4 linked regions of the Drosophila melanogaster genome follow. The protein of the gene in region 1 purifies or fractionates together with the protein of each later gene. This does not show direct contact. Each region holds a gene or a part of one and is shown in the gene's direction. Other genes may lie near its edges.

Region 1 (8,626 bases):
ATAGTTTTTGGGCAATCAGAAGCAACAAACAAATATCTGCAATAACTCGTTGAATTCGAAACAAAATTAACTGCATTTATACTAAATATATAATTGCTATAGGATGAGTTAGCCGTCTTGCGGTTTCCCAAACCCCAAAAGCAAAGTCAAGCGTGTAGGAAACCTGATCAGATCGCGGGAAAGATTCTCTGCACTCAATTACGTCAAACCAGGTTGATTTCCTCCTTTTCGCTGTCGAGAGATTGGCAAATGGGTCAAATGGGTCAGGCAGTGGAATAGTAAATTAGATTATGTTTGCATCGAGATGCAATGCAAGCCGCGCCCCAAATAAATGGAACGTGCGCTAGTAGGGTTCCCCCTTGCCCCTGGTAACCCTTCCTTTCACCACCCGTTTTCCCGCTTTTCCGCTCCCAAACACTAGAGGTAAGCTGCTTAGACCCCGGCGTTTAGAAGCCCCAGTTTCGTTTCACTAGGCAGACACACTCGCAGCGGGAAGACAATGCCACCGCCACCGCCACCGACTTAATCAGCCCGGGAAACGACATCTCAATGCTGGCGAGTGTGTACCTACATATGGACATGGGCGTGCGTTGGTGCGGGAGCTGGTGTAAATCGGTTTTGGCAGGTACGCCGCTGGCGTCATTACCCCCCCAGAGGTTGAATGTCACCGGCGGCATGACTTGGGGGCCAAGCCGATAAGGCGCACACTGTCCACTGCACGGTGTACACTGATAAAAATATATATCAAGACCAAATATTGTTAAAGATAATTGATGTGTAAAGGAAATACACTTGCAAGTTAAAATGTTTTCACCTTAATGTGTTTTTCTTTTAAATACTCTATTAACTAATATAAATTATCACCAAAACAAAACATTAATTTGGGAAATGTTATCACCAAAAGCTTTTGCCACTATAGAAAATACAGATAAATCTAAAAATAAATTCCTTTGACGCATGCACGAAATAAGATAAACAAATTTGATTTTATTTTCTTATTTACACAATTCATTTTATTTGCATGCATTTCATTTTGTTCAGTGTACCTAATAAAAACGATTTCGTTTGCCCCAAGCAGTAAGAAGATGTTAGGCACGTCTGCTGATAAGGAAAACTGTAGCCCCAGACTAGGCCAGACCATATTAAATTAACGTCTGGAGGCGCGAAAATCATACGATTTTTTTTTATATTACTTCGCGGTCAGTTGCCAAGGCAGGAGAGCAACCCGTTCGATTAGTGGGTCAATTTGGAAAATGAGTTATTGACTCTGGGAAATTGTTGAGCTGAAAATTTAATCGGAGCCCGAAAATTTCCAATCATGCATTCCCCAAGTGACCATATATGGATTAGTGATAACGCTCGATGCGACCCCCAAAGATTATCAAAAATATTTAATAAGAATATATGAAAAAAAGATTTAACTTTTATGAATTCCTAAGCGTCCTCAAAGCTTCGGGAGAACTGGGCCATATATGACCCGAAATACATGTTTATACTTTAGCAAATGTATTTTCCAATTAGGTGATAGAACTTGTGTGCACACACACATATAGTTCTATATCAACAAACAGGTTTAAGTTTTATGCAAATTGAAAGCTTATTTCTTCCGCATGCTTATCTCTTTCCTTCTCATCATTTGTATGCAAAAAATACATATGAATTTGCAGTAGCCTCCTCCCACATCATATTTAACGCCCTATATTCAAAATTTGCTCAAGAAAATATTTGAACCAAATTGATTTTTAGTCAATTAGTTTTTAAGTAATTAAGTGGAGTAAACATATACAATTTTATTCTTACCAAACACATATACTCATATATTTTGAATAAATAAATAAACAAATATATATAAAATCTACGAAATTGGCAAACAAATTTTAAAGCATTATAGTATTGCCGATTTAATTAATATAATTAAATAATATGTACATGTATTAATCTTGTGTGCGAGCATGGGTTAAATCTAGCTGCATTCGAAACCGCTACTCTGGCTCGGCCACAAAGTGGGCTTGGTCGCTGTTGCGGACAAGTGAGATTGCTAATGAGCTGCTTTTAGGGGGCGTGTTGTGCTTGCTTTCCAACTTTTCTAGATTGATTCTACGCTGCCTCCAGCAGCCACCCCTCCCATCACCATTCCCATCACCATCCAGTCCCGTTGGCTCCCAGTCACAGTATTACACGTATGCAAATTAAGCCGAAGTTCAATTGCGACCGCAGCAACAACACGATCTTTCTACACTTCTCCTTGCTATGCTTGACATTCACAAGGTCAAAGCTCTTAATATTCTGGCTCGTGGCCCTACACTGTAAGAAATTACTATAGAAATAACGGTACACGGAATAAGATATTTTTTTTAGTCCATATGCTTTTAACAAATGTGTTTTAAGTTTATGTTATATTATTGTTAGAAAACCGGTGTTTTTTTAAAATCGGTTAAAAAATTACTACGAGAGAAAAATACAAATTTTGTAAATAAGATTGACTCTTTTTCGATTTTGGAATATTTTCATTCATTTTATGTTTTTACGTTTTCACTTATTTGTTTCTCAGTGCACTTTCTGGTGTTCCATTTTCTATTGGGCACTTTACCCCGCATTTGTTTGCAGATCACTTGCTTGCGCATTTTTATTGCATTTTACATATTACACATTATTTGAACGCCGCTGCTGCTGCATCCGTCGACGTCGACTGCACTCGCCCCCACGAGAGAACAGTATTTAAGGAGCTGCGAAGGTCCAAGTCATGCATTATTGTCTCAGTGCAGTTGTCAGTTGCAGTTCAGCAGACGGGCTAACGAGTACTTGCATCTCTTCAAATTTACTTAATTGATCAAGTAAGTAGCAAAAGGGCACACAATTGAAGGAAATTCTTGTTTAATTGAATTTATTATGCAAGTGCGGAAATAAAATGACAGTATTAAATAGTAAATATTTTGTAAAATCATATATAATCAAATTTATTCAATCAGAACTAATTCAAGCTGTCACAAGTAGTGCGAACTCAATTAATTGGCATCGAATTAAAATTTGGAGGCCTGTTCCGCATATTCCTCTTGGAAAATCACCTGTTAGTTAACTTCTAAAAATAGGAATTTTAACATAACTCGTCCCTGTTAATCGGCGCCGTGCCTTCGTTAGCTATCTCAAAAGCGAGCGCGTGCAGACGAGCAGTAATTTTCCAAGCATCAGGCATATAATATACTAATACTAATACTAATACTAATATAAGAATACTAATATAGAAAAAGCTTTGCCGGTACAAAATCCCAAACAAAAACAAACCGTGTGTGCCGAAAAATAAAAATAAACCATAAACTAGGCAGCGCTGCCGTCGCCGGCTGAGCAGCCTGCGTACATAGCCGAGATCGCGTAACGGTAGATAATGAAAAGCTCTACGTAACCGAAGCTTCTGCTGTACGGATCTTCCTATAAATACGGGGCCGACACGAACTGGAAACCAACAACTAACGGAGCCCTCTTCCAATTGAAACAGATCGAAAGAGCCTGCTAAAGCAAAAAAGAAGTCACCATGTCGTTTACTTTGACCAACAAGAACGTGATTTTCGTTGCCGGTCTGGGAGGCATTGGTCTGGACACCAGCAAGGAGCTGCTCAAGCGCGATCTGAAGGTAACTATGCGATGCCCACAGGCTCCATGCAGCGATGGAGGTTAATCTCGTGTATTCAATCCTAGAACCTGGTGATCCTCGACCGCATTGAGAACCCGGCTGCCATTGCCGAGCTGAAGGCAATCAATCCAAAGGTGACCGTCACCTTCTACCCCTATGATGTGACCGTGCCCATTGCCGAGACCACCAAGCTGCTGAAGACCATCTTCGCCCAGCTGAAGACCGTCGATGTCCTGATCAACGGAGCTGGTATCCTGGACGATCACCAGATCGAGCGCACCATTGCCGTCAACTACACTGGCCTGGTCAACACCACGACGGCCATTCTGGACTTCTGGGACAAGCGCAAGGGCGGTCCCGGTGGTATCATCTGCAACATTGGATCCGTCACTGGATTCAATGCCATCTACCAGGTGCCCGTCTACTCCGGCACCAAGGCCGCCGTGGTCAACTTCACCAGCTCCCTGGCGGTAAGTTGATCAAAGGAAACGCAAAGTTTTCAAGAAAAAACAAAACTAATTTGATTTATAACACCTTTAGAAACTGGCCCCCATTACCGGCGTGACGGCTTACACTGTGAACCCCGGCATCACCCGCACCACCCTGGTGCACACGTTCAACTCCTGGTTGGATGTTGAGCCTCAGGTTGCCGAGAAGCTCCTGGCTCATCCCACCCAGCCCTCGTTGGCCTGCGCCGAGAACTTCGTCAAGGCTATCGAGCTGAACCAGAACGGAGCCATCTGGAAACTGGACTTGGGCACCCTGGAGGCCATCCAGTGGACCAAGCACTGGGACTCCGGCATCTAAGAAGTGATACTCCCAAAAAAAAAAAAAAACATAACATTAGTTCATAGGGTTCTGCGAACCAGAAGATATTCACGCAAGGCAATAAGGCTGATTCGATGCACACTCACATTCTTCTCCTAATACGATAATAAAACTTTCCATGAAAAATATGGAAAAATATATGAAAATTGAGAAATCCAAAAAACTGATAAACGCTCTACTTAATTAAAATAGATAAATGGGAGCGGCAGGAATGGCGGAGCATGGCCAAGTTCCTCCGCCAATCAGTCGTAAAACAGAAGTCGTGGAAAGCGGATAGAAAGAATGTTCGATTTGACGGGCAAGCATGTCTGCTATGTGGCGGATTGCGGAGGAATTGCACTGGAGACCAGCAAGGTTCTCATGACCAAGAATATAGCGGTCAGTGAGCGGGAAGCTCGGTTTCTGTCCAGATCGAACTCAAAACTAGTCCAGCCAGTCGCTGTCGAAACTAATTAAGTTAATGAGTTTTTCATGTTAGTTTCGCGCTGAGCAACAATTAAGTTTATGTTTCAGTTCGGCTTAGATTTCGCTGAAGGACTTGCCACTTTCAATCAATACTTTAGAACAAAATCAAAACTCATTCTAATAGCTTGGTGTTCATCTTTTTTTTTAATGATAAGCATTTTGTCGTTTATACTTTTTATATTTCGATATTAAACCACCTATGAAGTCTATTTTAATCGCCAGATAAGCAATATATTGTGTAAATATTTGTATTCTTTATCAGGAAATTCAGGGAGACGGGGAAGTTACTATCTACTAAAAGCCAAACAATTTCTTACAGTTTTACTCTCTCTACTCTAGAAACTGGCCATTTTACAGAGTACGGAAAATCCCCAGGCCATCGCTCAGTTGCAGTCGATAAAGCCGAGTACCCAAATATTTTTCTGGACCTACGACGTGACCATGGCAAGGGAAGATATGAAGAAGTACTTCGATGAGGTGATGGTCCAAATGGACTACATCGATGTCCTGATCAATGGTGCTACGCTGTGCGATGAAAATAACATTGATGCCACCATCAATACAAATCTAACGGGAATGATGAACACTGTGGCCACAGTGTTACCCTATATGGACAGAAAAATGGGAGGAACTGGTGGGCTAATTGTGAACGTCACTTCGGTCATTGGATTGGACCCTTCGCCGGTTTTCTGCGCATATAGTGCATCCAAATTCGGTGTAATTGGATTTACCAGAAGTCTAGCGGTGAGTTGAATACGATCTTATGCGGATAAATTCATAATTTTTTGGTTTCAGGACCCTCTTTACTATTCCCAAAACGGGGTAGCTGTGATGGCGGTTTGTTGTGGTCCTACAAGGGTCTTTGTGGACCGGGAACTGAAAGCGTTTTTGGAATACGGACAATCCTTTGCCGATCGCCTGCGGCGAGCGCCCTGCCAATCGACATCGGTTTGTGGTCAGAATATTGTCAATGCCATCGAGAGATCGGAGAATGGTCAGATATGGATTGCGGATAAGGGTGGACTCGAGTTGGTCAAATTGCATTGGTACTGGCACATGGCCGACCAGTTCGTGCACTATATGCAGAGCAATGATGAAGAGGATCAAGATTGAATTCGAATCAAATAAAATAATGCTTTACGCAAAAAGTAGGCAATTCATTTTCCTATGATAATAGATATTTTTTTTTTTTTTTTTTTTTTTTTTTTTTTTTTTTTTGATGATGTTTTTATTATTTGATCAACGCACTGTTACCCATGCGGCAACTTAATTTGATCTGCTTAAATTATTTTATTTTACTATGTGTCTTGGTTACTTAAGACTAACAGATTTTTAATCCTAAAAATGATAGGGAGAATTATAATAGTTGATATAACATAGTATTCTAATGAATTTTAAAACTAAGACTTTCTAGGTCAAAACCAGGTTAGGGAGGTCATGAGGGTGGTGTCGCTTGAGTCTTCTTTTGACTCTAGTCCGAGGGTCAGCATTGACCACAGCTGCAGTTCCTAGCTTCCTTGCTAGGCTGTTGGGGTGTACATTAAGCCTTTCCATATATTTTTGGGCGAGCGAATGTTGATGGGAGCTATAATTAGATGTGCTTAATTATGATGGGGTTACGTTATGCATGTTGTGGGAATGTGAACTATACTGTTTTTTTTTTGACATCAGTCGACTATATGTTCTCCTAACAACCTTTGATCTAAATTGTAAGTGCAAAGTCAAGTCCAACTACTCAAGGCTTTTTCAACAACAATATACGTAGACTTTACGTGCAACATTTCTAGAACGTCTCTAGTGCATCTCAACTATGCGAATGCATGTCGAAATTTTGCTAGAGCAATGCCGTGCATTGAACTTTGGCACATTTCCAAACGCACAGGCAGACCCAGTCAGCCATAGGAAACCCAATCGGACGACCGAGAATCGAATGCGAAAACAAACAAATCTGCCGACACATTGCCCAGGAATATTGGCACTGAGAGCCTACAGATACACCAGGAAAAAAAAAAAATAAATGCTGGGATAGTTTTGGTATTTTCGGTACTAATCTAACGCAATAGCCCTTCTACGGTCGAGTAAACTGAAAAACTCTTAATATTTTTATGTTGCATTCATTAAGTAGTATACATTTTCTACTTCCAATCTTGCCTTGGCTTTTTCTCATCGTGTAGCTATATCTCAGCTATATGGTGGGGTGAGTTGTGGGCACGCCGCCTTGGCATACTTCCAATTCGAGTGCGTTGTCTTCCTTCTAGTCGGGGGCCACTCGGTTCGTAAAAAATCAATAGCCAGCAGACCAAAAAGAGCCACAATATCATCGGACATTGAGGACCCAACGCAACGGAATGGAACCAACGGAATCGCATGGAGTGGAATCTGGCCAGGCCATATCAAAGCATTTTTCCAGAGTTCCCACTCCCTGCCGTCCGCCGGCGTTGCAAGTTTGCTTTCCTTTCGATGGCGCAACTTAATTCCAAAAATCGATTAGTCACTGTAAGCGAACCATGCAATTGTCCAGCATTTTTCATTTATAACTCCTTTTTTTCGTTTAATTTTTGCTGGTTTCCTCCCCTTTTCCACTTTTTTTTTTTGGCACACGCTTGATTAATTTGGTCAGCTGCCGGTTGGCAAGGAGGTGGGGGGGAGGACATTTAAAAATGCAGGAAGTAATCGATTGGCTAGGGCACAATAGCCAAAATGGGAGAGGCAGTGCAATCGCAAAAAATATTGGGGTATGTTCGCCTGAAGGAAATGCCGGAAAATATTGAAAATTACGATACCAAGATACATTGCACGAAATAATAAATATTCTGGGCCGGTAATTGACCAATTTTGTTTGTCCATTTGATTGTAGGTGTACTCGTAAATGGTAGGTTATATTAAATGACTAATAATTATATTGAATGCAACTATTCATACTAAGAGTATCTAGGCTTCGACTAGTTCTAGTATTTTCCCCAACACTGTAGATCGAACAAAAACATGCGACCGACCGGTTGCCGGCAGTAGGTGGAGATTAATCAACAAAAAAAAATTTGCGGAAAAATGGAGGAAAAAATTACTGATGCTTTTTAAATGGCAATACGTGCCTGGTCACCAGGTATTTCACTAATTAACCTGACGGATGCACACCACAGCCAAAGAAGATAGTGATTATGCAACTGCATGGATCGCTGCTGTTGTCTGTGTATGAGCGTTGTGAGATAATGAAGTACTGATCTGATGGGAGTTTATAGCCAACACTGATAATGCACTCATTATGAAACCTAATAGCCATTCATTAATGGAGTGGGAAATCAATGGTATTATAGTAATTAAGCAAAGGTTATGAGTGTTGAAACCAAACTGCAGGATGTCTGATTGTTCCTTAAGAGTAATGCTCTAATAATTAGTGGAATATAAAGAATTGAATTTCCATTTGCTATGTATGTAAGTGTAAATTAATATAAGACTATATATATGATAAATGTTACAATGGGTCTTAGAATACATTGTGATTTGCTCTAAAGCTTGAATTCTGATGTTCTGATCTAGTTCCCCTCGGGCAGAGTTCACCAATCTCGACTCGTTTTATACGACATGCGGCAATGTGGCGAAAAAGAAACAGATGAACACATGTTAGATATGGAAGCAAATACCCCTTGCCCGCCAAGACCGCTCTCAGACTTTGAAGCTCTGAAAGCCAAGTCCCATTTGTATGGC
Region 2 (7,913 bases), 2.1 Mb from region 1:
ATATTAATATGTGCGTTTTAATTATGTGAAATCACAATTCAATGGTTAATCAAATTCGCATTAAATAAGTAAAGCAATAGATTATCCTTTCGAGTTGAGAACCCCATTCCCTTCATATGCGAATGTCCTTCGGCGATAAAAAAAAAAGGCAAGAGCCTTATAGGATAATCTGGTTTTTAGCAGGAACTACATATATAAGTCGCAAAGGTCTCGCTCATATCGGAATTTATAAAGGAAATGTAAAAGAATTTGGGGTTGAAATAGAAGTGGGGGCAGGCCATAAAACCAAATGAAAAACGAGTTGGGGCTTACGTTCGAACGGAAACGCAAATAAAAAACAACAACGTTTTGGCGTGATTACGTAAAATGCGTAAAAGAACAGAAAGAGAGAGTAAATCGACGATGAGAAAGAGAGACTCGCAGGAACCACTTGACGCATTTCAAGGACACGTGCAGCCTTTGCAAGGACACACGCAGCACAAAAGAGTGGCGAATTACACAACACTGGGTGTCGGTAGCGCTCCCACCAACTTACCGTAATATGCAAGTTGGCAGCTCCTTTCTGGTGGCTGCCCTGTAGCTTTCTTGCCTTTTTTTGGATTCAGCTAGGTAGGCCCTGACCGAAACGCTCTAGAAATTTCAGTAGTGGTAAAGGCCAGAACACATAACTTTCGAAGGTGACAAGCAGCAAACAAATTTTCCGTTCTCGCCGAGTCTTGTTGTTTTGGGGATATTTTCCAACTCAAAAACTGGTGCGTTTCAGTTCCTTTACAGACGCAAGACGCGTAATATTCGATCGGTGTAACGGTGAACAGAATCGGCAGCGGGAAAACCGAACGCGGCGAACTCAGCTGATTGAATGAAAACGCCAAGCTGAGCAGCAGCCACAATTGCCATTGCCCCAACCAGCGCTCATTGAGAGAGGGAGCCAACGAGAGAGCGAGCAACAAGCAACTGCAGAGCGAGAAGAACTGTCCGTCGGGTAAGCTTGTTGCGTTGTTGCTGCCCCTTACACAGCAAAAAAGAACTTAGCTAGTTTTACAATTGCTTAATTTTATATGAAACTAAGCATATAGTCATATTTGTTTATTAAACTAAATAAGTAGCTATATTAAAAAAGCTAATTATTGGCATTCTCCTTCTTTTCTCCCACTGTGCACGATGCAGAGACGTCAGCAGTGCACTCAGAGCAAAGAACAGGTATAAAATGCCCAAAAAGAAGCATTTTTAGTAATTTTTCATTCACACATTTCCAACATTGCTCTCACGCGCAGCGCTGCAGCTCTCTCGCAGCGCTTTCTCCGTGTCATTTATGTTGGAGCTGCTCTCTTTCTAGTCTCTCTGCCCCACTCTTTCACCTCTTTCTCTCTCTCTCGCTCAGCATAAAATGCAAAACCAACTAGCGGTGTTGTTGTTGTAGTTGGGGGGTTATGTAACTTTCGGGCATCCGCAAGCACAGAAAGCTGAAAGCGTTGAAGGGCAGTCAGCGACCTCGTTCTAGAAAAGAAGCCATCTCTTCAGCCCCTCCACGCACCACCCCTCAAAAGAAAGCCCCCCCCCAAAGAAGAAGAAGCAACAGCAGTGAAAAGCGCGTAGTATAAACACATGCTGTAACATAAACAGTGGTACTTGCTTAACTAAAGCAACTATGCTTGCACATATAATTATAATTAACTAAATGTATTTGCTACCATTATCTTTAATGTAAAGTTTTGACAATGTGTTTTTCCTTAAATATCCATATTAAGCTCACTAATATTTCATAAAAACTTTTCTTTAATCTAAATATTTGACATCATGTCATATAAGTATTACTGTGCAATCAAAAAGAAAGGGGAGCAAGAAAGAAATGTAGGTTTTCTGCCATGCAGGGCAGGGGCAAACCAGAAATGTCTGCTTTTTAGGTTGGGGAGGTGGTTCTTTATGGGTATAGCTTTCGAGGGGGTGTGGCCTGGCGGGAATCCCAAAGTCATGCCAAATTGCGCAACAGCCAAAGCGTTGTTCTTGGTAACCCGCTGACCGAGGATATTGACGCAGAAGTGGGTATGGAGTGGCAATAATAATAATTTCACTGGTCAAGTCTGAGGTACTCCAAGAAACCGTTATTAAATTATGTTAAGTGAACTTTCCATGGTTACAACAAAAAAAAACGAAAGAGAACAACAGTATAGTCGATTTCCATGACTATACACCCAGCTAGAGGTAGTGCTAGGAAGATTTTATAGTTTTTGGCATATCGATAGAATCTTTTTAAAAAAAAAAACGTTAAATCATAGTTTTTGGCGTGACACCTTTGCAGTCTTCTGAAAGAAAGCTGCGTATCGTACATACGGACAAATAGACGGACAGCAGACATTGTCAGATCGGCTGGTGATCCTAATTAAGAATATACTCTATAGGGTCGGAACCGTTTTTTCCCTCTTACATACTTTACGAAAGTAGCGGGTGGAGCTACATAAAACATTTTTCCCTTCCTCATTACATTTGAGCAGATGCCGCAATATGCTTTTTATTTTTGCATAACAATTTCCGCACCTTACAGGCAATTCAATATCTGCACCTCCTTTAGCACGCAGACTCCTTTGTGCCTTTGCACTCTTTTTGAACTCTATTTGTCCTGGACCATCCTCTCACCTTTTTATGGACTTCCGCAGCAATAGATCTAGTAAACAATATAGCCTCCCCACAACCTTTCCGCAGGCTATCTCTTTCCTACTACTACCCCATGTTCGGCCGAGCCCGTTCAAGCGTAATTTAATTTCTTGCACCATTTATTTATAGTGGTCCGGCAAAAGAACTCGGGCCAACAGGCAGGATAGTTTAGCCTGCGGGTAAATTATGGTTCCATTGCCAATTAGGTTAGGTCACAACCAGGATGTCCCATTGGGGATATATGTATGTATGTATGTAGATGGATGCACAGGGAGTACACCTAATACCAGTGCAGGGCTGCCAGGAAAATGTCATTGTTTGGATTTAGAATGTGACATTTACATACGTACGTAATATAAATATATAAATAATATCATTCTCTGAAAAATATCATAATGCACTCTTGTAAATTTAAAACAAATTTAATTTTAAGATAATTGGTTGAGATAAACATAGTTAATATTTTCAATTGATCCTTTAAATTTTAAATTGCAGGTGAATATCATCCCTGTGTGACCGTTGTATGCGGCATGGTTCCATGTCTCTTTCCCGTTATTCATTTCCCTCTGCTTTGTTTTTTTTTTTTTTGGTTTTGTTATGCGGTGGCATCTGTTTTTGCCACAGGAAAATGGTTGAGAGAGGGGAAGGCAGGGGGCGAAAGCGGAGAGTGCGTAAAATGCGTTTTAATTGAAAGGAAATGTTCAAAGCACATGTGCATCTGCTAGTCAACGAATTGGTTGGGAAAGGGGGTGGCAAGCCGAATGTGTCTGCTAATTGAATTACCTTTCGGTTGCTTTTCCCATTAGAAGTGCCGACAAGTTCTCGAGCTGCTTGTTTGCTTTTCATTTAATACCCATTTTGATTTAATTTTCGTTTTTCCTATTTTTCTGACCCAATTTTGTTTTGCTTTCGTGCATTAGCAGCTGTCTCTGTCTATCGCTGTGCAGCCAAGAGAGTGACCAAGAGAAACGCTCTCTCTCTCTCTCTCAGTTGTCCAGGACTTGCACTTTTCAAACGGTTTTTTAGGACACTGAAACAAATTGAATCTGTTTTTCTTTTCTATCAAATTTTTAGTTCTACACTTTTCTTTTTCATGATAGTTTCGGAATCAACCAATTTCTATTTGATCCAAATTAACAAAAAACAAATAACAAAAAATTAAAAAATATAGAAATAAAAGCTGCATAAAAAGTTGAATTCTAAATCATAAATATCATTTTTCCCTATTTGTCTTTCAGGCTTCCAAGATGGGTTCTGGTGATGCAGAGAACGGCAAGAAGATATTTGTGCAGAAGTGCGCCCAGTGCCACACCTACGAAGTGGGCGGCAAACACAAGGTGGGCCCAAATCTTGGCGGGGTCGTGGGTCGCAAGTGTGGCACAGCAGCGGGATACAAGTATACCGATGCCAATATAAAGAAGGGCGTTACCTGGACAGAGGGGAATTTGGACGAGTACCTCAAGGACCCGAAGAAATACATTCCCGGAACAAAGATGGTGTTCGCAGGTCTTAAAAAGGCTGAGGAGCGGGCCGATTTGATTGCCTTCCTCAAGTCAAACAAGTAGAATCGCCTGCGAAACAACAAGATCGGCCACCATGCTATCCAGAAAACTGCGCTTAAAGACTACAAACATATTCAAAAGATGACGTATTTCACTTGGATTTCGAAACTTTGATTGGGAATGGTCGAGCTCAAATACATTTCAAAAAGGTTTACTTTCACTTTAGCCAATTAAAGTTGATAAACCAAAAACCCTCTTCTTAATTCAAGTTGTGTGCGACGCGGGTGGAGGAAAGTGTTGTACCAATCAGCTTTGGTCACAGTTGGTTTTATGGTCCTACTAGCAAAATGTAATAAATTGGAGAAGCTTGTTAAATAATGCAAATTTTCCAGAGGCTTTCCAATATAGTCCCGTTAATAGGGGAAAAAATTACTTATACGCCGTGTGGTGGATAAATACGGGTACAAAAGCTTGCGACATTTTTTAATGCGTGGCCCCCGGTCACTCTGGTCACACTAATTACCTATCGACATAACGCGCGCTCGTCATTCGTGAAAAATCGGCGACGCTCGACGTTTGTGTTCAATGTAAGTAGTGGGTGGAATTTTTGTATTTTCAAGTGACGTAAATATTACCTTGAATAGTTATTGATTATCAAGCCCCAAGTCAGATAAAGATTAGAAACACTTCCGTGTCATTTACGTAACATCCAGCAGCTGTGTTTTGTTCTGAAAATGATTCGCATGCAAATTTAACGTATTCTTTGGGGGATGATTCAGGTTACATAAACGTGTCCTTGTGTGTGTGTGTATAAGTGTGATTTTTTATTAGATATTTAATAGTTTATTTAGCAAATATTAGCAGTGGTGTATTAATAGTAAAAATAGCATCCCAAAGTCACATTGCCATTGAAAAAAGCCCCGGAGAGAGTCGATTACATGAGCAAAGAGAGTGGCGTACCCGATCATCAGCTGTCTCGCTCGCTCAGTGGCAAAAATTAATTCTTGGATTTTTTGTCAATGCTTCAGCTTTGGAGTCTTTAAGCGCGCCACGTGGTTGCTAAGCAGGTTTTGCTTTCTGCGATGTGCAGTTTTCTATAATATAAATAAAAGAGAATTCACCTCTGCGAAAAGGCGGCTTATGTAACATTCGCTGCTCTCAGGAAACTTGGATGTTGGCCCAATTTTCACTCATCTCTTTGTTCTCACCACCTTGCTCACCCACACAAGGAAAAACACAGCTGCCTTTGGCCTGCTTCCAATTTTCCAATTGCACTTTCCCTTCATCTCACGCACACTCACGCACGGCAATTAACTGAAAAATACTCAACAAGGCCAAATCGGATGTTGACATTGTTGTTGCTTTGCCACCTCTCACTGCCAAAGTGCATGATACTCTACACAGAAAGAAGTGAAAAAAAGGTTGATATTAAATGCAAATTATGTGTAAAAGCGCACAAAATCAATAGTCTATATATATTAGGTTTGTTTTTATAGACAAATGCATATAAAATAAAATTAGTTTTCTAGAATTGAAAGAGCTTCAGCTAATCGAATTTCTCTCAGTCTATGTGCGTGATGTGTAGGTGAATTACTCACCGCAACGGTACTTTGCACTCTCAAGTTCAAATTGCTGCATGCAATTTATAATCCGGCAATTAGCAGGATGACCGTAACACAGACCCTGGAATAATAGAATAGTTATGTAAACAACTAACGTTTTTCGTATTATGATGCTTCCTGGAAGTTTTCCGCCTGTTGCTGAGCAGTTCTGACGCAATTAATCGGCGACTGGCAAATATAAGCGAGTGAGACACAAAGAGAGTGTGAGAAGGAGAGAAAGAGTGTGGGGGCAACATGTGACCAGCGTCTGAAGCTTTTTCAAAGTGTGTTTCTGATGACGTTGCGACGCCCTCCACGCGCGTATTAGTGAGAGCAAAGTATGTGGGTTAAAAAGGGGGTGGCCGCAAATGGAAATGCAGACTACGTTAGATAATAATTTCGGGCCTTATCAGAAACAACAGCCGACTAATGCACTTAGCATGAGCAATTTTAATAATTCCGTTTCCGCAGGGAGCTTATCAATTGTTTACATAACGGGGCAAGGGGACAAATATTAATTCACGGTCCATAACTACCTACATTAACCCATTATTTCCCAAGCATGGAAATTTTTGATGATATAAAGACGTTATTATTTTAATACCTTAAAAATATATAATATTATATAAGTAACGTTGGGAAATCAACTGGTTAATAAATTTTAAATTTCGGGTTTATTTATTCAATAATCTTTTGATAATGTATGGCTGAAAGTGAAGCTTTTATCAGTATCTACACAATGGTTCATTGGGGCTAATAATAAATGGTATCAAATATCGTATAACTATTTTTTGCAGTGAAACCAGAATTTCGGACTAAGTACATAAGCAAATGATATAAAATATATATTGTAATCAATTTATCAGAATAGAACAAATTAATTGGTAGCAGTTATGAACTTTGAACCATTTAGTAGCCAGTTTTTTAAGTTTTTCAAACCTAAGATGTAAGATAACAGATATATTGGTTACCCTTGTTTTATGAACCACTCATTAATAACAAACATTTCTTTTTACAGTCGAGTCCGTGTTAACACATTAATTAACCACATAATCCATAATGGGCGTTCCTGCTGGTGATGTTGAGAAGGGAAAGAAGCTGTTCGTGCAGCGCTGCGCCCAGTGCCACACCGTTGAGGCTGGTGGCAAGCACAAGGTTGGACCCAATCTGCATGGTCTGATCGGTCGCAAGACCGGACAGGCGGCCGGATTCGCGTACACGGACGCCAACAAGGCCAAGGGCATCACCTGGAACGAGGACACCCTGTTCGAGTACCTGGAGAACCCCAAGAAGTACATCCCCGGCACCAAGATGATCTTCGCCGGTCTGAAGAAGCCCAACGAGCGCGGCGATCTGATCGCCTACCTGAAGTCGGCGACCAAGTAATGGTGCTGTCCATCAACTTACCCACAACCACTGCAGGATGTCAAACTGTATTATTGTGTTCAGTCACAGTCCGGCACGCAAATGCAGCAGCAGCAACAACTACAACTACAAATCAACATAGTACAGACCTAAAGAACTACAATTATGTTAATTATAAAGTTTAAATAGGACAATTTATTATTTAATTTAAATAAAAAGTGGAATATTTAATTCAAACCCGATGAGAATTGTGACATCCACAAAAAAGTTAAATAATAAAAAAAGAACTAAAAAATGATATAAAATCTGTTTTATGCGAGGACCTGGTTTTTGTAGCTCGCAGGTCAAAAAGAATAAAAAAAGCTTCTTCAGATTTTTGACTCGGGCAACTCAAATTAAAAATAAGAGATACCAATCATATTTATAAAACAATTGTCCTGGCAATTTCTATCAATAGGTATCTGTTAGTCGTCAAACTCGACTGCAGCATACTCTTTGCGTCTGTCAAAAATGTTGTTGGCTGATCTATATAGGCCTTACTCATCTGAGTCGCACAAAGATGACCACAAATCATCCTGGGTTGCTGCAAATTCCTTAGTTCATTGCGTGGAGGTAGACATCACTAAAAACATCCAACAAAGAAAGAGTCGATACGTTACGCAGAAACATCACAATAAGATTGTATTACTGAGAGAGAAAGTAGAAAACTATTAGGGTCGAAATGCTCTCTTAATGCACATTCTATTTGGCCAATCGTTAAACAAGAATACACTGGTATTTTTATATTTTTTGG
Region 3 (8,351 bases), on another chromosome or scaffold:
TGTAAGCAAAACAAAGCCAGCGGAGGCCGTAATCGAGGCTTACGAGGGCGGACAAAGAGACTTCGGTGAGAACTATGTACAGGAGCTGGAGGAGAAGAGCCGCCACCCGGACATTCTGGCCAAGTGCCCCGACATCAGGTGGCACTTCATAGGCCACATGCAAAGCAACAAGATCAACAAGGTCAATTGGATAACCAAGATCGGATAACAGCGTTTATCTCTTATCAGCACCTCTCTTTATCTTATTGATCTCATTGTTTATTTAGATCCTTTCTGTGCCAAATCTGCATATGATCCAGACCGTAGATAGCGAGAAGTTGGCCACCAAACTGGACGCAGCCTGGTCTAAGCGACAGCCCACCCCTGAGGAGCCATTGCAGGTGCTCATCCAGATCAACACTAGTGGTGAAGACGGTGAGTCTCACGCCCCCAAACTAGCGACCTTATACTTACTTTCCTAAATCGACCTCTAGTTAAAAGCGGAATAGAGGCGAAAGATGCTCCTGCACTCTACCAGTACATCAAGAGCAACCTTAAACACCTCAACCTGATGGGCATAATGACCATTGGTGCATTTGGTTTTGACTACAGCAATGGACCCAATCCGGATTTCGTGTCCCTAATGCAGGTGCACAGATCCATATGTGAGGCGCACTCCTTGGCCCCGGACTCGGTGCTCGTCTCCATGGGAATGTCCAACGACTTCGACAAGGCGGTAAGCTACAAACCGACTGAGCAAGTTCCGTCTCTAAAATCGAAACTATTCCCTCAGATCGAAATGGGCAGCACAGTGGTGCGCGTTGGCTCTTCTATTTTCGGCCATCGGGCGGCCAAGGTGTAAGAAGGGGAGCGGAGCAGAGATGTGATAGGAATGCGTTGCGGGCACTGAATACAGCCGATTCCCAATGACGTCCGACCTCACGACTGAGCACCTCCAAGTTCGCTCATGTATCAGGTGGAACTGGGTATATTCACACAGACTAACGTAGTAAATCAGCAAATCAAAGATGATTTGGCGTTTAAATTTAGAAACCCTTGAGATAAACAAATGTTATGTGTAGGCTGTTATTTGCCTTATTTAATTGTTAACCCTTTATAAACAATGCTTCCAAAGTGTCAAAACCATTAATATTCCCAGAAACATTCTGCACCTTGGAAAATTGAATACATTTGCCGCAGTTTTCATTAGTTTTAACATTCCTTCGACTGCGTCTTGCTCGTTTTTTGCACTTTGTTCTATTTTTACATTCGCGTATATTCAATGCTACTTTGCGTATTAGATTGTGGGCAGTTTTCCTCTATATCTTCTTGTTTTGGTTGGCCCCAGGCCAAAATGTCGCCTGGTTACGTGCCAAAATGGCTGCGCCATGAGAGTTTTCGCCGAAAATCACTTTCAATGGAGCACGAAGATGACTGCAGCCTAAATCGATTTTCATTATGTCTGATCGATGAATTATGAAGGCTTTCTCGCACGGATCCCATCGTTAATTGAGATATTTTCCGTTTCATAAATTTGCATAGAGCCTTCATTAATTATAATATTAGCCAGCGAGGGTAATGAATTCAGGTGGCAAAGATGACCTCATGTAAATATTGTTTTGAAAAATGTTTTGGCTTATTTCCTTCAGAAAGCAAAAAGTCGAATAATTTGCAGAATGAATATTTCTAAAAAAAATAGATGTAAACTATATGAATAATAATATTTTGTAACACTTGAAACTAAATTGAAATTTCCTGCTTATTTGGAAAACTAAAAATGTGTAAATAAGGCTTTGAGAATCCAATTTGTCGATTGAAGTTGTCACAATTTTACTATTTATTTACTGAAATGGCTTAAATAGCTTGAATACTGCAGTGTTTAATATTTTTAGTAACAAGGTTAATGTATCATGACGTGGTACCCAAAGTTTATCTGAAATGGAAATCCTACAGCCTTCCCATTGTTATGCAATGTCCATGGATGACTAGCATATAGATAAAGTCAGATGTTTATTCCACATTTGTTGCCGAAATAACTCTGGTCCAATATCGGGTTCGTTGGATATTTATGCGACACGAAATCCGCCCGATCGCCGTGTATGTATATACAGATCTATAGATTTGGAATTCTCGGCGCTCTTCATATTGCACAATGTGCGGGGCATTTCGAAAACAGAAAAAGGAACGTAGGCGAGCAAAACATCGAGTATATAGGCGTGAATAGAATACATACATATGCTATATGTTGGCATATATGTATGCTGTCCGCCGCCAAGGAAAATGTAGGTGATTTCAGCGCAAGAGGACACCTTTCGGAGGTGGCCTCTGGCAGAGAGACGCACCGAGTAGTGAAGCAGAGCAAAATAAAAGAAAACAAAACAGAATCCGAGGATGGGGAAATGTATCCACAACAGAGAGCCGCTATATGAACCAATCCGAATCGCCCCGAAATAAATTCCGAACATATGTATAGGCTTCTGCTGCCCAAAAGCCAAAGCCAAAGCAATTTCTCTGCCTTTAAAATTAGATTTTTGATTAGAGCAGCGCCCGATGGATGAGTAAACACCTCGGATACAGCTACACCATAGGCTATAGGCTATAGCCATGGCTATATCTATATAGTTGTAGCTGCCCGCCCCCGCCGATCTCCTGGGCGGACCTCGCCTTGCAGATACTAAAAAAGGCAGCACGAATATTGCAGATACGGATACAGCGAATGGCGCCCGAAGATCCCCGAAGGTGGCCGAACCTCCACGAGCGGCCCCAATGCTTGGAAGAAGAAGAGCTCCTCCGAGCTCTTAAAACATCATTGTCTTGGCGATAAAATCAGCCAGAGATTCAGTGTGCTCTGACGGCTCGACTCGATTAGACAACACATCAAAGTTCAGCACCATGGTAAGGACTCGTCCCGGAATATCACTACAATCCAACTGAACCGAACTGAACCGAACCGAATCGAACTGGACCCCAGTGCCTGGATATATGCAGCAAGGATAATGCCGATCAGTGCAGTGAATCGTTTGCATTCGAGAATGACCCCGAGGATATGAATATGAAGTGAACCATAACTCTAAATCATGGTGATCCCGATTCACCTTCTTCACATACGCAGTGAGAATAGTGCAGAAAGTTCTATAAATGGATCGATCCGATCCGAGTGTTACGCGTCAGTAATGTAATCTGATATCCGTGCCGGGGAGCGAGCGAGACAGCGAGTGGCGCACGGCGGAGAGCTTACGTAATATGCGTCCGGTATATTTTTAGAATGAGTGGAAAACTTTCGCCTGCAGATACATATTTTCTGGCCTAGTCGGGTAGGCCTTTTGAAAAGCATACCTTACATCCCTTAAATCCCTATTAAGGGATAACTTTCTACCCATATAATTCCAATTGAAGATCCTTCAACGCGGATAACTTACTAAGATCCCTAAAACGAATAGTATAACTTCCGGAATCGGAACTTTCAAGTGACAGCTAAAGACGGACTATAACGACTAATGACCGAGTAGATACCCCCTTTCTGCCACGAGTCCCTACTAATAAATCCCTCTTTTCTCTCCTCAGGCCGATGAGAAGAAGAAGGTTAAGAAGAAGAAGACCAAGGAAGAGGGTGGTACTTCCGAAACCGCTTCTGAGGCCGCATCCGAGGCAGCAACCCCGGCACCAGCTGCCACTCCTGCCCCGGCCGCATCTGCCACTGGTTCGAAGAGAGCGTCGGGCGGATCCCGTGGCTCCAGGAAGTCGAAGCGCGCTGGCTCCTCGGTCTTCTCTGTGTTCTCCCAGAAGCAGATCGCCGAGTTCAAGGAGGTGAGTTTTGGGCGTTACTCATATATCGCATCATATGTCGGATCACTCGAGACCCATCCCATCATCCTGTCATCCTACCATCTATCGCACTTGTCAAGGACCAAGTCACCAACACACTCTTTCTTTCTATCTCTCTCTGTCTCTGTGCGGGATCGATAGGCCTTCCAACTCATGGATGCCGACAAGGACGGTATTATTGGCAAGAACGATCTGCGCGCTGCCTTCGACTCCGTCGGCAAGATCGCCAACGACAAGGAGTTGGACGCCATGCTGGGCGAGGCCTCGGGTCCGATCAACTTCACCCAGTTGCTGACCCTGTTCGCCAACCGCATGGCCACCTCCGGTGCCAACGATGAAGACGAAGTTGTTATTGCTGCCTTCAAAACATTCGATAACGATGGTCTCATCGACGGTGACAAATTCCGCGAAATGCTCATGAACTTCGGTGACAAGTTCACCATGAAGGAGGTTGATGATGCCTACGATCAGATGGTGATCGACGACAAGAACCAGATCGATACCGCCGCCCTGATCGAGATGCTCACCGGCAAGGGTGAAGAGGAGGAGGAGGAGGCCGCCTAAGGCACATCCGATCACATCCTAACTTCTAACTCAACATCCATTTTACAGCCAGAATCAGAACGTTAAATCAATCAGTCAAATCAGTAATAATAAACGTAATTAAAAGAAACGCTCGTTTACATATGTAGATTCTCAGTATCTTGTAATCTCTTTTGTTAACCATCACCAAGTACCTTGTACCAAGAACAACACCACCAACCAGATCAGCAACATCCGATCAAACTGAACCTCAAAAGAACTTCTTCAGCAACATTTGGTAGCGATCAGAACCATTTACCATGTATCTGTCCATCATAGTTAGGGATACTTACGATCACGTTCACTGTCACGGCAAGAACTGACGCGTAGTTTTCTAGTTGATTTACTGTTAAATTTTACACGTAAAATTTATAAAACATATGCTATCTATTTTATTTAAAACACCTATAAAATCAACAAAAAAAACTTAAAAACAACAAACAAGCCGTGTCTATTTTTATATCGCTGTCCGTTGAAGAACTAAAGAGAAGAACCCCCAGAGAGAGATGATTACCAGATCGAGATCGAGATCGGAATCGAAATGAGGATGTATGATGTATGATTTATGATGTAGGGAGGACGAAGACGATGTTGATGGGTAGCCGGGCTGTATTCGTTAGCCCTGCACCCGCGAGTTCAATTTGATTATGAATATGAATTTTAGCCAGTTTTGTGAGTTACAATGTTTTTCGTTCAAGAAATCTCGCAGGACCAGGAGAGAGAGAGGTAAACCCATAACAAACTATTGTTAGGGATCATTTAACTGAGAGCCAAATATATATCCTACTATCACAAAATATTTATCGTTATACATATCTATCGTTCGTTACTTACTTATTTATCAGTTATGAGTTATCAATATTATTGCAAGTTATCGAGAGTTAGGCTAATAACAGAGAAACATTAAGTTCATTCACTCAAATTGTTTAATGCGAATTTATATAACTTAACCATCGCCACCACCACAACTTTCTGCTTATGAACTATCAGCGATATAAACCACCCAAACGAACAAACAACCCAAAATGATATCTGAAATATGAAGAAACATTCAAATAACAAACCCAGTGTTTCTAGTTAATGCGTTTTGAAGCTTCCAGGATGATACGCCTCCCCGGGAAATAGACGGTCGGGGGGGTTTTAGTTTGAATAAGGTGCCCATAACCACTAGTACCTAGGCTGATCGGAGGAAGCACAATATATTGCCTTATTTATCTAATACTACTATTACTCAGAACTCAACACTTGACACTCGACACGAGCACACACCACACTCACACGCACACTGCAATCCATTTCAAAGTGCAACATGCAACAAGTTGTTAAATGCAAATCGAATCTTTACTTCAGTATATTTTAAGCTACACACGGCAAGATGAAAAAATTCAGAAAACTTTTAACCCGGTCAGGAATATTAACAAGAGTAAAACAAAAAACATCTAAAAATAGAAAACAAGTAACTGTTTTTATACAACATAACTAGATGATGATACGATGACGAAGTCTTGGAATAAAGCAAAAGAGAGTCGTCTTGAAAAAAAAACACAAAGCCATTGAAGTTTGATTTGCTCAGGGAAGGGGTTTTTTGGGGGTATGTAGTACCTTACTGCATATCTGACTCAGCTGAGCCGTGCCGGAAACCAGTTCCAGGTCAAAACAAAACCACCGATAAAGCTGGGGAGCTGAACGAAGCTGTGGAGCGCAGTGGGAAACTCCCCACACTTGGCCAAGACGATGGCCAAAACCGAACACGAACCTTCGAGCGACCAGTTGTCAGTCGAGTTTCGAGGCGCACGCATGCGCACTACGATGTGAAAGTCAGCCACGCTTGTCATTGCCACATCCATTCCGAACAGCGCTTTTCGAATAATCTGGTTACTCAGGGCGTAAGTAGAACCAGAACCATGGCTCCAGGTGGACGACAGCTTTTGTGGATGGCTTCCATCTGCTGGATTGCATCACTAATGAGTGGAGGTGAGTGCTGGGAATCGATTGCATTGTATGCAGATATTGCGTGGCCAAAGAAATCGAAAGTATCTCAGTTTGAGTCTGGAATATCTCACCACACTCTCGAGTGCACTGCAAGAAAAGTGATATACATTTGGGGCGAACTAAGCCCTTATCCTATGCTGTATACTTTGCTTCGAAAGTAAACTAACCTTTTATTTCCAACACTATATTTTATGCATATAATTATATTATTCATTCATATTTCTCTCTCTGCGCCTATGAGATATCTCACCTTACTAATGAACACTCCACTCTCACTATCGTTTTTGTGCCTCTCAGCTGATGCACAGCATCTGATCGCTTATATCTCGCAAAGAGGTCTTCATGGAGAGATCACTTTTCGGCAAATGAATGCCACCACGGTGGAGATCAAGGCCAACCTGGAGGCCACTTTGCAGTACCCCGACCAAGTATGGAGTTGGGGAGTACGTCGCTTCCCCGTGGACTACTCCAATATTGACCCAGACGAACGCTGCGAACTGAGTCGTTTGGGCTCCCAGGTCCTGTCCTTTGACGAGGACTTGGAGTACCTGGTACTGCCCGGAAATGAGACCTCCAGCTGGGAGCGAAACATGCAGTTGATTGGGGATCGGGGAATCTGGGGGAAGTCCCTGGTTCTGACAGAGGTCAACGCTAATGCACGGATCTGTGCCACCATCACCACCATCCAGAGTTCCGTGGAGCACATGGCAGAGGCTCGTTTTAATACTCCTGTCGCTGGATCTGTCCATTTCCGCTGGCTGGCCCCGGCGGAGGGAGCTGTTGGAGATACTCTAATCTACTCGGATCTTTACCATATTAGGGCGCAACCAGCTGCTCTGGAGGAAGATAGAAGTCAAGCTGGACCGTTCACCCAGCACCACTGGAAGATCTATGTGACGGACATTTTCAAACATGACCACCATCGCACGGAGGACAACTGCAACTTCCTGCAGCAAGTTTTCGATCCCCAAGGAAGTGGAGCTGGCAAGGGAATAGGTGATCTGGACGCACGCCTAGGCAGGATTGGAGTGGCCAAGAATGCCCTTCGTTCGCCACAACGCAGCGTTTTTAGGGATGCTCAGTTGGCCCTGCTGCCCTCGGATCTTACCATTCCCCATAGAACTCTTTACCTGGTTCTTTTTGACAACCAACATCCAGATTCGTACCTCGCGTGCACCAAGATTCGCCATGTCCAACCTTTGACACATAAGTGAGTGGTTTTTACAACCCATTCTATTTGAAAGTATAACCATTTTTTTTTTGTTAACCGCAGAACTTTCATCAACTCTGGTGGTGTCAAGGGAGAGGTTACCTTCATGCAGCGCTCCAAGTTCGACCCAACTTTCCTCAATTTCACCTTGGGAGCACCGCTTTCCCAGCATGTCAGTCGCAAGTTCGCCGAAGATGTGGCCGCCTTTCGGATTCACAGTCTGCCGCCGGTGCCTTCGAGGATGGGTCACGAGGACTACTGCCTGACCACTGGGGACATGCATAATCCCCGGGAGATAAACGAGAATATACCCCCACCCGGTTATGGAACCCAGGAGCAGTATCCCGTGGGCGATCTCTCCGGGAAGCTACAGGGTCGCAATAAAGGTTATTGGCATCAGTATGTCTTACCAGGAACGAGCTCCGAGTTGAATGGCCTCTACTGGGACGTATTTCTGCCCCTTCAAGGACGTTATAGCATTGCCCAAAGAAGTCTGGTCATATACACTTTCAATCGATCTAATGTCACAAATATTACGAAGATGATTTGGGGCTGTTCGAGCCTAAGTCAATATCAACGAAATGGAATCTACCAGCAGAACATGGTTACTGCTCAGGTTGGTAGATAAAATAGTATTTCATGCTAAGTATTTTAATATTTGTGCTTATATCTTAGGTCCTTTTCCGCTATCCTGTGGTGGGTCGAGTCATATTCCGGCAGACGGCGGAGCAGCCTTGGCAGGATACTACCGTTTTATTTGAGT
Region 4 (7,028 bases), on another chromosome or scaffold:
ACATTAAAATGAGCGTCACATAAGTTCTCCCAAAGGTTATTTCTCAATGTAAAAGCCAGTTTCAGTTTATTGCAAAATAGCTTATTGCTAGCTGTTCGCTCATTATTTTGAGTTAAGTATACAAGAACTCTAAAAGATTTCAGGCAAAATTTAACATTTTTAAGTCACCCCTAAGTGTTATGGAGTATTATTGTTTAGAAAATGTACAAAAAGCGATGCAGAGCTGCAAATTAAAAGGCTGTATCAGTCAATTCCCACGAAGAGCGGTTACCTCACCGCCAAAACGAACCGTCCACACAAACTGCGATCCCATCAGAAAAAGCGAAATGCCATTCTGGAGATAGCAAAGATCAATGGAAAGTGCAAACGATGAACAATGTTTTAGTTTCGCACAGTGACGAAACAATTACTTCGATTTGGAGAGCGATATAGACGATAAATTAAAATAGACTTGGTTCCGTTTGTTTAAATATTCTTTTATATTTTGCACCAAGAGGAGTAGGAAAATATGTGCTCCATCAATAAGTGGAGTTAGTTGCTTTTACCAAATAAAAATAAAATCATCTGCAAGGGTATATTATATTCTTCGTTTTATAAAATCCGAATCGGTATTAAACATGATCAATTAGTATGATTGATTACTTTAAAGGTTTACACACACATTTGGAAGATATTTATTACAAGTCATATTTGTTTAATTGGCTGCTTAAGTATTGGGTTAGTCATGCATTTAAGGCTATAATTAAGCTAGGCACAAATATTATTGGTATTTATTTAATTGTACATTTTATGTGATTCCTTTACTTACATCAGTTTGATTTCCGTCGACCAAGTCAAAGCATTATTTACCTACTGAGGCTAATATGCTGAAAATATAAAAAGAGCTTGTTACTACAAAATCGCCATCGGATTGTAAGAAAATATTATAATGGAATATGCGATTCTCTTCGATATTGCTGAATCTTTTTTTTCGAAAGAATATAAAGAAACTCCCTCAATTTAAAATTTCAAAATAGCAGCAACGAAAAAATTGAAATTAAAGCTCTGCCATGAGCCAAATTCGTGCCAAACGGAAGGTAGTTGAGTTTTGAAAATGGCTAAGGTCATGGTCAATCTGGAGGCAATTAGTTCGGTTCCTGGAGAAACCCAAAACCCCATTTTGAACACGTATTTTGGAGTAAGATGTTGGGAACAAGGCTATTTTGGGATTGTGGGTCACAATCAGCGCTTGTTTCACTAGATGGCTGGTATACTTTGGGCCAGAAACGCGAGTGCGAGTGTCAATGCAGTTTGAAATCGCCTTTCGCGATGAATATACGCCGAATAAATGGAATTTTTGGCACACGCATACGCCTGCGTGTCACGTGGGGAAAGCACGGCCCGCGCCTACAGTTTTTTTTCCTGCCCTTCCTCCCCAGCGTTCGTTCGGTGTTACGGCCTTTTTATTTTGCACATAATATTCACACCAAATCGGGTAAGGGGCTCCAGTGGGCTCCAGCAGGGGGTGGGGGAGGGTGGTCAGCAGGGAAAGGCTGGCACTTGGACACCAATATTCCACATCGTATACCAAACCAAGTGTATGCGTTTCGAGCGGGGGTTTCTTTGGCGATGGCTTGCTACACAACTTGCTACACACGTTTAACTCCCAGTGGACCTCGGGTTCTCGCTTACATAAATTGGCACTGTTTTTTTTTTTTTTTTTGGAGCGAGAATTCGAATGCGAATTAAAATGCATTAATATAACCGGCTCGCACTGCTCGAACCGCTCGATTTAAATAAAGTAGTTTGTTGTTTGTGTCCATATGTGCTTGCGTGTGTGCGAGTGGGCATGGCTTTGTCACATGGTCCACTTGGCCCCAACGTACAATGTCCTAGGAAAACGATTTGCTTGCTTGATTTTTATTCTCCACACAAATTCGCCCTAAATTGTTATTTTTGATATTTACATATGTACATATGTACGCAGGTGCGTATGTACATATGTACGCACATGCAGTGTATATGCACGCAAAATGGGCTAAAGTGTGTATGTAGCTCGATTCACACGGGATTTTCGCCGCCTCGGCGGGAGGTGGGTGCGGTTATTACCTGAACGAAAATGACACATTGATTTTAGGCACATTTCTGCTACCCGCTAGGCTAAACAAAATCACTTTTCGCAAATGCAATAAACTTATTCGACCAAAACACAATCAATACAACAAATTTAGGGGTGGCTTAAATCGAGGCGATATATATACGAGCGCCTTATCGATGTGTGCTGCTGGTTTTCGCTTTTGATGTATCGATAAGTTAGGGCGATTGTTTTCACGCCGTTTAAACAAAATTGTTTTTAAATTAATTTCGGGGCTTTTAAGAAAATTATAAGCATGTATTTAAGCAAGAATACCAATACGGTTAGAGTATTAGTTAGATCGTAGATATAACCTATATAAATAAATTTATGAAGTGTTCCACTTTCGTCGTTCCCGTGATAGAGTAACGGTTCCTTTTTAAATAATTAAAATTCTTATTGGATTCATGATGAAACCAAAAAAATTTTAAAATAACAAATTTAACAATTACGGTGCGGATTTCTTATGTGAACATTTATCAACTAGGATTCATAATCTTTAGGCTTATTCTGGAAAAAGTTAACAAGTGTTGTAACTATTTAAAATTAAGTCCGTATAAATGAGCAAATTGTTGAAATCGATCAAATTGAGCTTAAAAGATTTATTTGACTACTTAAATTTGAATCTGCTTACTAACTTTTTCATTGTTCCGGAACTTTTGATGCTGAAATGTGAAACTATTTAGTACATAGGTGTTAATAGCGTTTCGGCCAATTAAATTTAGTATGTGAGTACGCATGCCAACCTTTGTATATAGATGTTGCTTCTCGATATATTTAGATTAAGTTTTCTAAGTGCATTTGTTTCGAGCAGCAGTTCGATCATTTAGTCTTTTTTCCTTTATATCAGTATAAACACTATAGTAAAGGTACGGTCCCTAATTTTTCAGTGGACCCAATGTCCTAGTTTTAGCTGCTAGAAAATCAATGTGAATCCCTTGAACGTCTATTAATAAGTCTATGATAAAAAGTCCTTTGGAAAGATAACAGTGATATGAGTGGTTTAAGAGATGAATCTATACAATTCAATCGATGAATGATGTAACTCATTATATGTAGATTATAATGCATTGAACCATTTAAATCGTCCTGAATTCGAAAGGTCTAAGAACGCCAGCTATTTGGGCGTCCTGAATTCCAAACATTTCCGATCAACTGCGAAAAAGGTTGTTTTAAGAACAAAATTGAAATTTAGGTTGTGTTGCAATGTTATGCAACGTTAAAAGGCCAACGTTTATAAAAAATAAGAAGACAGTGAATTTGTTAAAGTATCTTATTGTGATATAATAATATGATGATGGCTTACGTTACCTAGAGATCGAATATTGAAAGTGAATCTGTCTATGATAGATATATAATAATATTGAAAGGATTCCGTTTCAGTAATATGGCAGACGAAGAAGATCCATGGGGTTTCGACGACGGCGGCGAGGAGGAGAAGGCGGCATCCACCCAGGCGGGCACTCCGGCCCCACCCTCAAAAGCACCGAGTGTGGCATCCGATCACAAGGCTGATAGCGTCGTGGCTGGCACTCCGGCCAACGAGGAGGCTGCTCCGGAAGAGGTAGAAGAAATCAAAGCACCGCCGCCTCCGCCAGAAGACGATGGTTACAGGAAACCGGTGCAGCTCTACCGCCACTGGGTCAGGTTGGTCCTCCACTGTACTGTACAGCACTGTACCGTACTGTATCTTATGCAATCTGCACTTTTCAGGCCGAAGTTTCTGCAATACAAATACATGTACAACTACAGAACCAACTATTACGATGATGTAATTGACTATATCGACAAAAAACAAACTGGAGTGGCCCGGGAAATACCAAGACCACAGACGTGGGCGGAACGTGTCCTGCGCACACGGAATATCAGGTGGAGTAGCTAATCCGGTTTGTGTAAATATAGTAGTTGTTAATATTTGTTATCCACCTCAGTGGCAGTGACATTGATTCGTATGCACCGGCAAAGAGGGACAAACAACTAATTCAAACACTGGCGGCCTCGATAAGAACTTATAATTACCACACCAAGGCATATATCAACCAAAGGTATGCCAGTGTCCTTTAGTAAGCGCACCTAAATGTACCAATAGAACCGTCGGACGAACGGATGAGCACTCGTAGTTATATAAAGGGTAACCACCCATTGTCAAAAGATCCATACGTACATATGTGTATAGTCAGTCAGTAAGCGTTTGCATATCTGCGCATCTCAAAACTCTGTATCCTGAATCTGCCTTATGGAGTGGAGACCTTTCAAGAAAACGAATATTGTATATTTTTTCTTACATGCGTAATTTCTGTTAATATATTGCCATATGTACTTATTCATATATATTAACACAACTTACCTCTCAATACATGGTATTTTTAAGGTTATTTACTTCATTTTTAGCAAAGTGAGTAAATAAAACAAACCTATTTATATTGTAAAGCTTAAAATAAAAACTGTGCAATAAATAAAACTAAATAAACATTGATGTTTTTCCTATTCAAATATGACGGCAGGTATGAGGTATTCAAAAACTAGTGCTTAAAGAAATCCCCATGGGCATTTAAAAACTTTAACTTCATAGTCAAGCGCATGAGAAATCCATTTTTTATTATAATTTAAAACAAGATGAACGAAACGTTAAAACCCACTTTGGTGGACTGACTGGTGAGTACTGCCCTCCATGAACGAGTAAGGAAAATCAGAGTAGTCCAAAGTCCCCATAAAGTGTCTATTTGCATAAATCACAAGTGCAACCCCTCTAATAACACACAATAGGGTAAATTAGGCTATTGTGTGCGTTTGAATTAGTACAAGTACATTTTAGAGTGAACTAATCGCAAACTAAATTAAATTATATTATTAAATCACAAAAGAACTCAAAATAGAAAAGGATCACGATCATGAAAAATACTTTAAATATATTCTGTTTTTTCAATATTTTGTGTACTTATGTTATACTTACTGGCTCACCCTAATACATATATCTTATATGGGCGCCACGATTTTTCTTTTTATTTAAATTTCGACCTCAACCAGAAGCACAGCGCAATGATAAAACTGAAACCGGCCACTTTTCTTATTTTACTAGTTTTTCTTTTCGAAACCGGGTGCACGGAAAATTGGTTAGTGTAGTGCAGATTTATGAGTACTTTTATTTATTGGATTTTATTTCAGTCTGAGCAACGATATTCATGCATTAATTTTGGCCAGGGGAGGCAGCAAAGGCATCAAGCTGAAAAACCTGGCTGAAATTGGTGGCTCATCGCTTTTGGCCCGCACAATTATGACCATCAAAAATTCGACTTGCTTTCGACATATTTGGGTTTCCACAGATGACAAACGAATTGCCATTGAGGCACAAAAGTGTGAGCATTAAATATTATTATAGTGAATATATCTTTTAAACTCTTGAGCACTTTAGATGGTGCCATAATACATCATCGGCCTGAGAAATTCGCCAGAGACGACACTCCTTCACTTCATGCCATTTCGGAGTTCCTAGATGTTCATAGAAGTATTCATGACTTTGCTCTATTCCAATGCACATCTGTATTCCTGAAAACCAAGTATATTCAAGAGGCTGTTCGAAAGTTTGAGTCCCATGACTGTGTTTTTGCCGCTAAGAGGTACACTATGCTCTAAGAAAAATGTAGATGTTTAAAAATCTATGATCTATTTCAGATCACATTATCTGCGATGGAAGGTGGTCGATGGTGAATTGATGCCAGCGGAATTCGATTTGAGTGCCAGGCCAAGACGCCAAGATTGGCAGGGTGATATTGTAGAGACAGGAATGTTTTACTTCTCGAGGAGGAAACTGGTGGACAGTGGGCTACTGCAAAACAATAGGTGCTCCGTTGTGGAAATCGATGCCAAGGATAGTCTGGAAATTGACTCTAGCCACGATCTGACTCTAGCCAAATACATCTTAAGTAGTGAAACAAAAACCGAGTTATAGAAATAGATATGCTATTCATCAAAGAAAGTGTAAAGTTCATTGATCTTGAATGTTGGTTTGATTTTGTAGTTTAGGCTTCACACTTTTTGTTGGCCAGGCTATCACGGAAGTGTAGCGACTGATTCGCTTGGTCAGGAGGCGTGGAATGAGGGCGTTGCTGGTGGGTCTCAGGACCAAGCAAGTCCTGCCAAACCGAGCGACACACAGGGAGGTTGGGCTGGATGGATTGGTCCTCGCAAATGATGCACCACCCATGGATCGGGGTAATGGCGACTTCTTGCTGCCGGCTTGATCGTCTTGGGTGGCCTTGGCATCCTTGACATCCTGGGGTTTCTCCTGAACCTGGGCCTTCTTGTTAAATATGGGCTTTATACCATCCTGATTGTGGGATCTTTCGCTGGACTTTAGTGACTTTTCCTTGGATGGGTAGAAGCTGCTGCGTCGCTGGCTTGGTTTCAAGGGGCAGCAGACACTTTGGGCTTGTTGCTGCTGCTGCTGTGATTGGAACACCTGTTGGTTGTTGAAGGGTCCCAGGCAGTGGCAACAAGGATGGGGGTGCGTCCTGCACTGGGAACACTGGTTGCACAAGGATTGGCACGAGCAACAGGGATAAAATCCTCCAGAAATCGGAATATTCGGCTGCTGCTGCAGCGCACAAGTGGAGGTTCCGAGAACTGGGTGCATCATGTGCTGGCTGATCTGACCACCTAATCCCATAGAAGGATGTGATTCCATGCTCGACAAAGGACAGCAGGATGTACCACCGTTGTAGCAGCCGTTTGCAAAACTCTCCGGCTTCAACATGCAGCAGTTGCTTCCGTTGGCTGGACATTGATACTGATTGCCCATCTGCATTGGGCAGACTTGACTCGTCCTCGACGGACAGCAATTGCTGCACGTGCAGCAGGAGCAGCTGGACATGCTGCTCGGCGTGGCGCACAGGAACTGCTGGCCAGGATACATGAC

The links.
Region 2: the proteins of Adh (region 1) and Cyt-c-p purify together in Drosophila melanogaster (affinity purification with mass spectrometry, with the first as the bait; one large-scale study listed by BioGRID). This does not show direct contact.
Region 3: the proteins of Adh (region 1) and Mlc2 purify together in Drosophila melanogaster (affinity purification with mass spectrometry, with the first as the bait; one large-scale study listed by BioGRID). This does not show direct contact.
Region 4: the proteins of Adh (region 1) and fln purify together in Drosophila melanogaster (affinity purification with mass spectrometry, with the first as the bait; one large-scale study listed by BioGRID). This does not show direct contact.

Annotation. Positions count from the first base shown.
Region 1 is NT_033779.5:14,612,810-14,621,435, forward strand, and holds Adh (alcohol dehydrogenase), read left to right. Parts: upstream 1-2,742; 5' UTR 2,743-2,834; intron 2,835-3,319; exon of another isoform or gene 3,320-3,493; 5' UTR 3,494-3,529; coding exon 3,530-3,628; intron 3,629-3,693; coding exon 3,694-4,098; intron 4,099-4,168; coding exon 4,169-4,435; 3' UTR 4,436-4,738; coding exon of another isoform or gene 4,739-4,834; intron 4,835-5,260; coding exon of another isoform or gene 5,261-5,665; intron 5,666-5,716; coding exon of another isoform or gene 5,717-6,034; 3' UTR 6,035-6,093; downstream 6,094-8,626. Other genes in the region: Adhr (Adh-related), read left to right, coding at 4,739-4,834, 5,261-5,665, 5,717-6,034.
Region 2 is NT_033779.5:16,715,236-16,723,148, forward strand, and holds Cyt-c-p (cytochrome c proximal), read left to right. Parts: upstream 1-4,696; 5' UTR 4,697-4,741; intron 4,742-6,773; 5' UTR 6,774-6,814; coding exon 6,815-7,141; 3' UTR 7,142-7,409; downstream 7,410-7,913. Other genes in the region: Cyt-c-d (cytochrome c distal), read left to right, coding at 3,900-4,217. UniProt on the Drosophila melanogaster protein: Electron carrier protein. The oxidized form of the cytochrome c heme group can accept an electron from the heme group of the cytochrome c1 subunit of cytochrome reductase.
Region 3 is NT_033777.3:30,169,007-30,177,357, reverse strand, and holds Mlc2 (myosin light chain 2), read left to right. Parts: upstream 1-2,806; 5' UTR 2,807-2,871; coding exon 2,872-2,874; intron 2,875-3,543; coding exon 3,544-3,786; intron 3,787-3,945; coding exon 3,946-4,368; 3' UTR 4,369-5,920; downstream 5,921-8,351. Other genes in the region: CG1983 (uncharacterized protein), read left to right, coding at 1-181, 267-414, 474-715, 773-841; Rsod (uncharacterized protein), read left to right, coding at 6,291-6,360, 6,676-7,588, 7,652-8,204, 8,264-8,351.
Region 4 is NT_037436.4:19,987,103-19,994,130, reverse strand, and holds fln (flightin), read left to right. Parts: upstream 1-2,910; 5' UTR 2,911-2,982; intron 2,983-3,007; exon of another isoform or gene 3,008-3,279; intron 3,280-3,391; exon of another isoform or gene 3,392-3,496; 5' UTR 3,497-3,500; coding exon 3,501-3,760; exon of another isoform or gene 3,761-3,826; coding exon 3,827-3,982; exon of another isoform or gene 3,983-4,044; coding exon 4,045-4,177; 3' UTR 4,178-4,580; downstream 4,581-7,028. Other genes in the region: Csas (CMP-sialic acid synthase), read left to right, coding at 5,153-5,226, 5,279-5,469, 5,526-5,730, 5,786-6,062; schuy (schumacher-levy), read right to left, coding at 6,099-7,028. UniProt on the Drosophila melanogaster protein: Possibly involved in the regulation of flight muscles contraction, possibly by modulating actin-myosin interaction.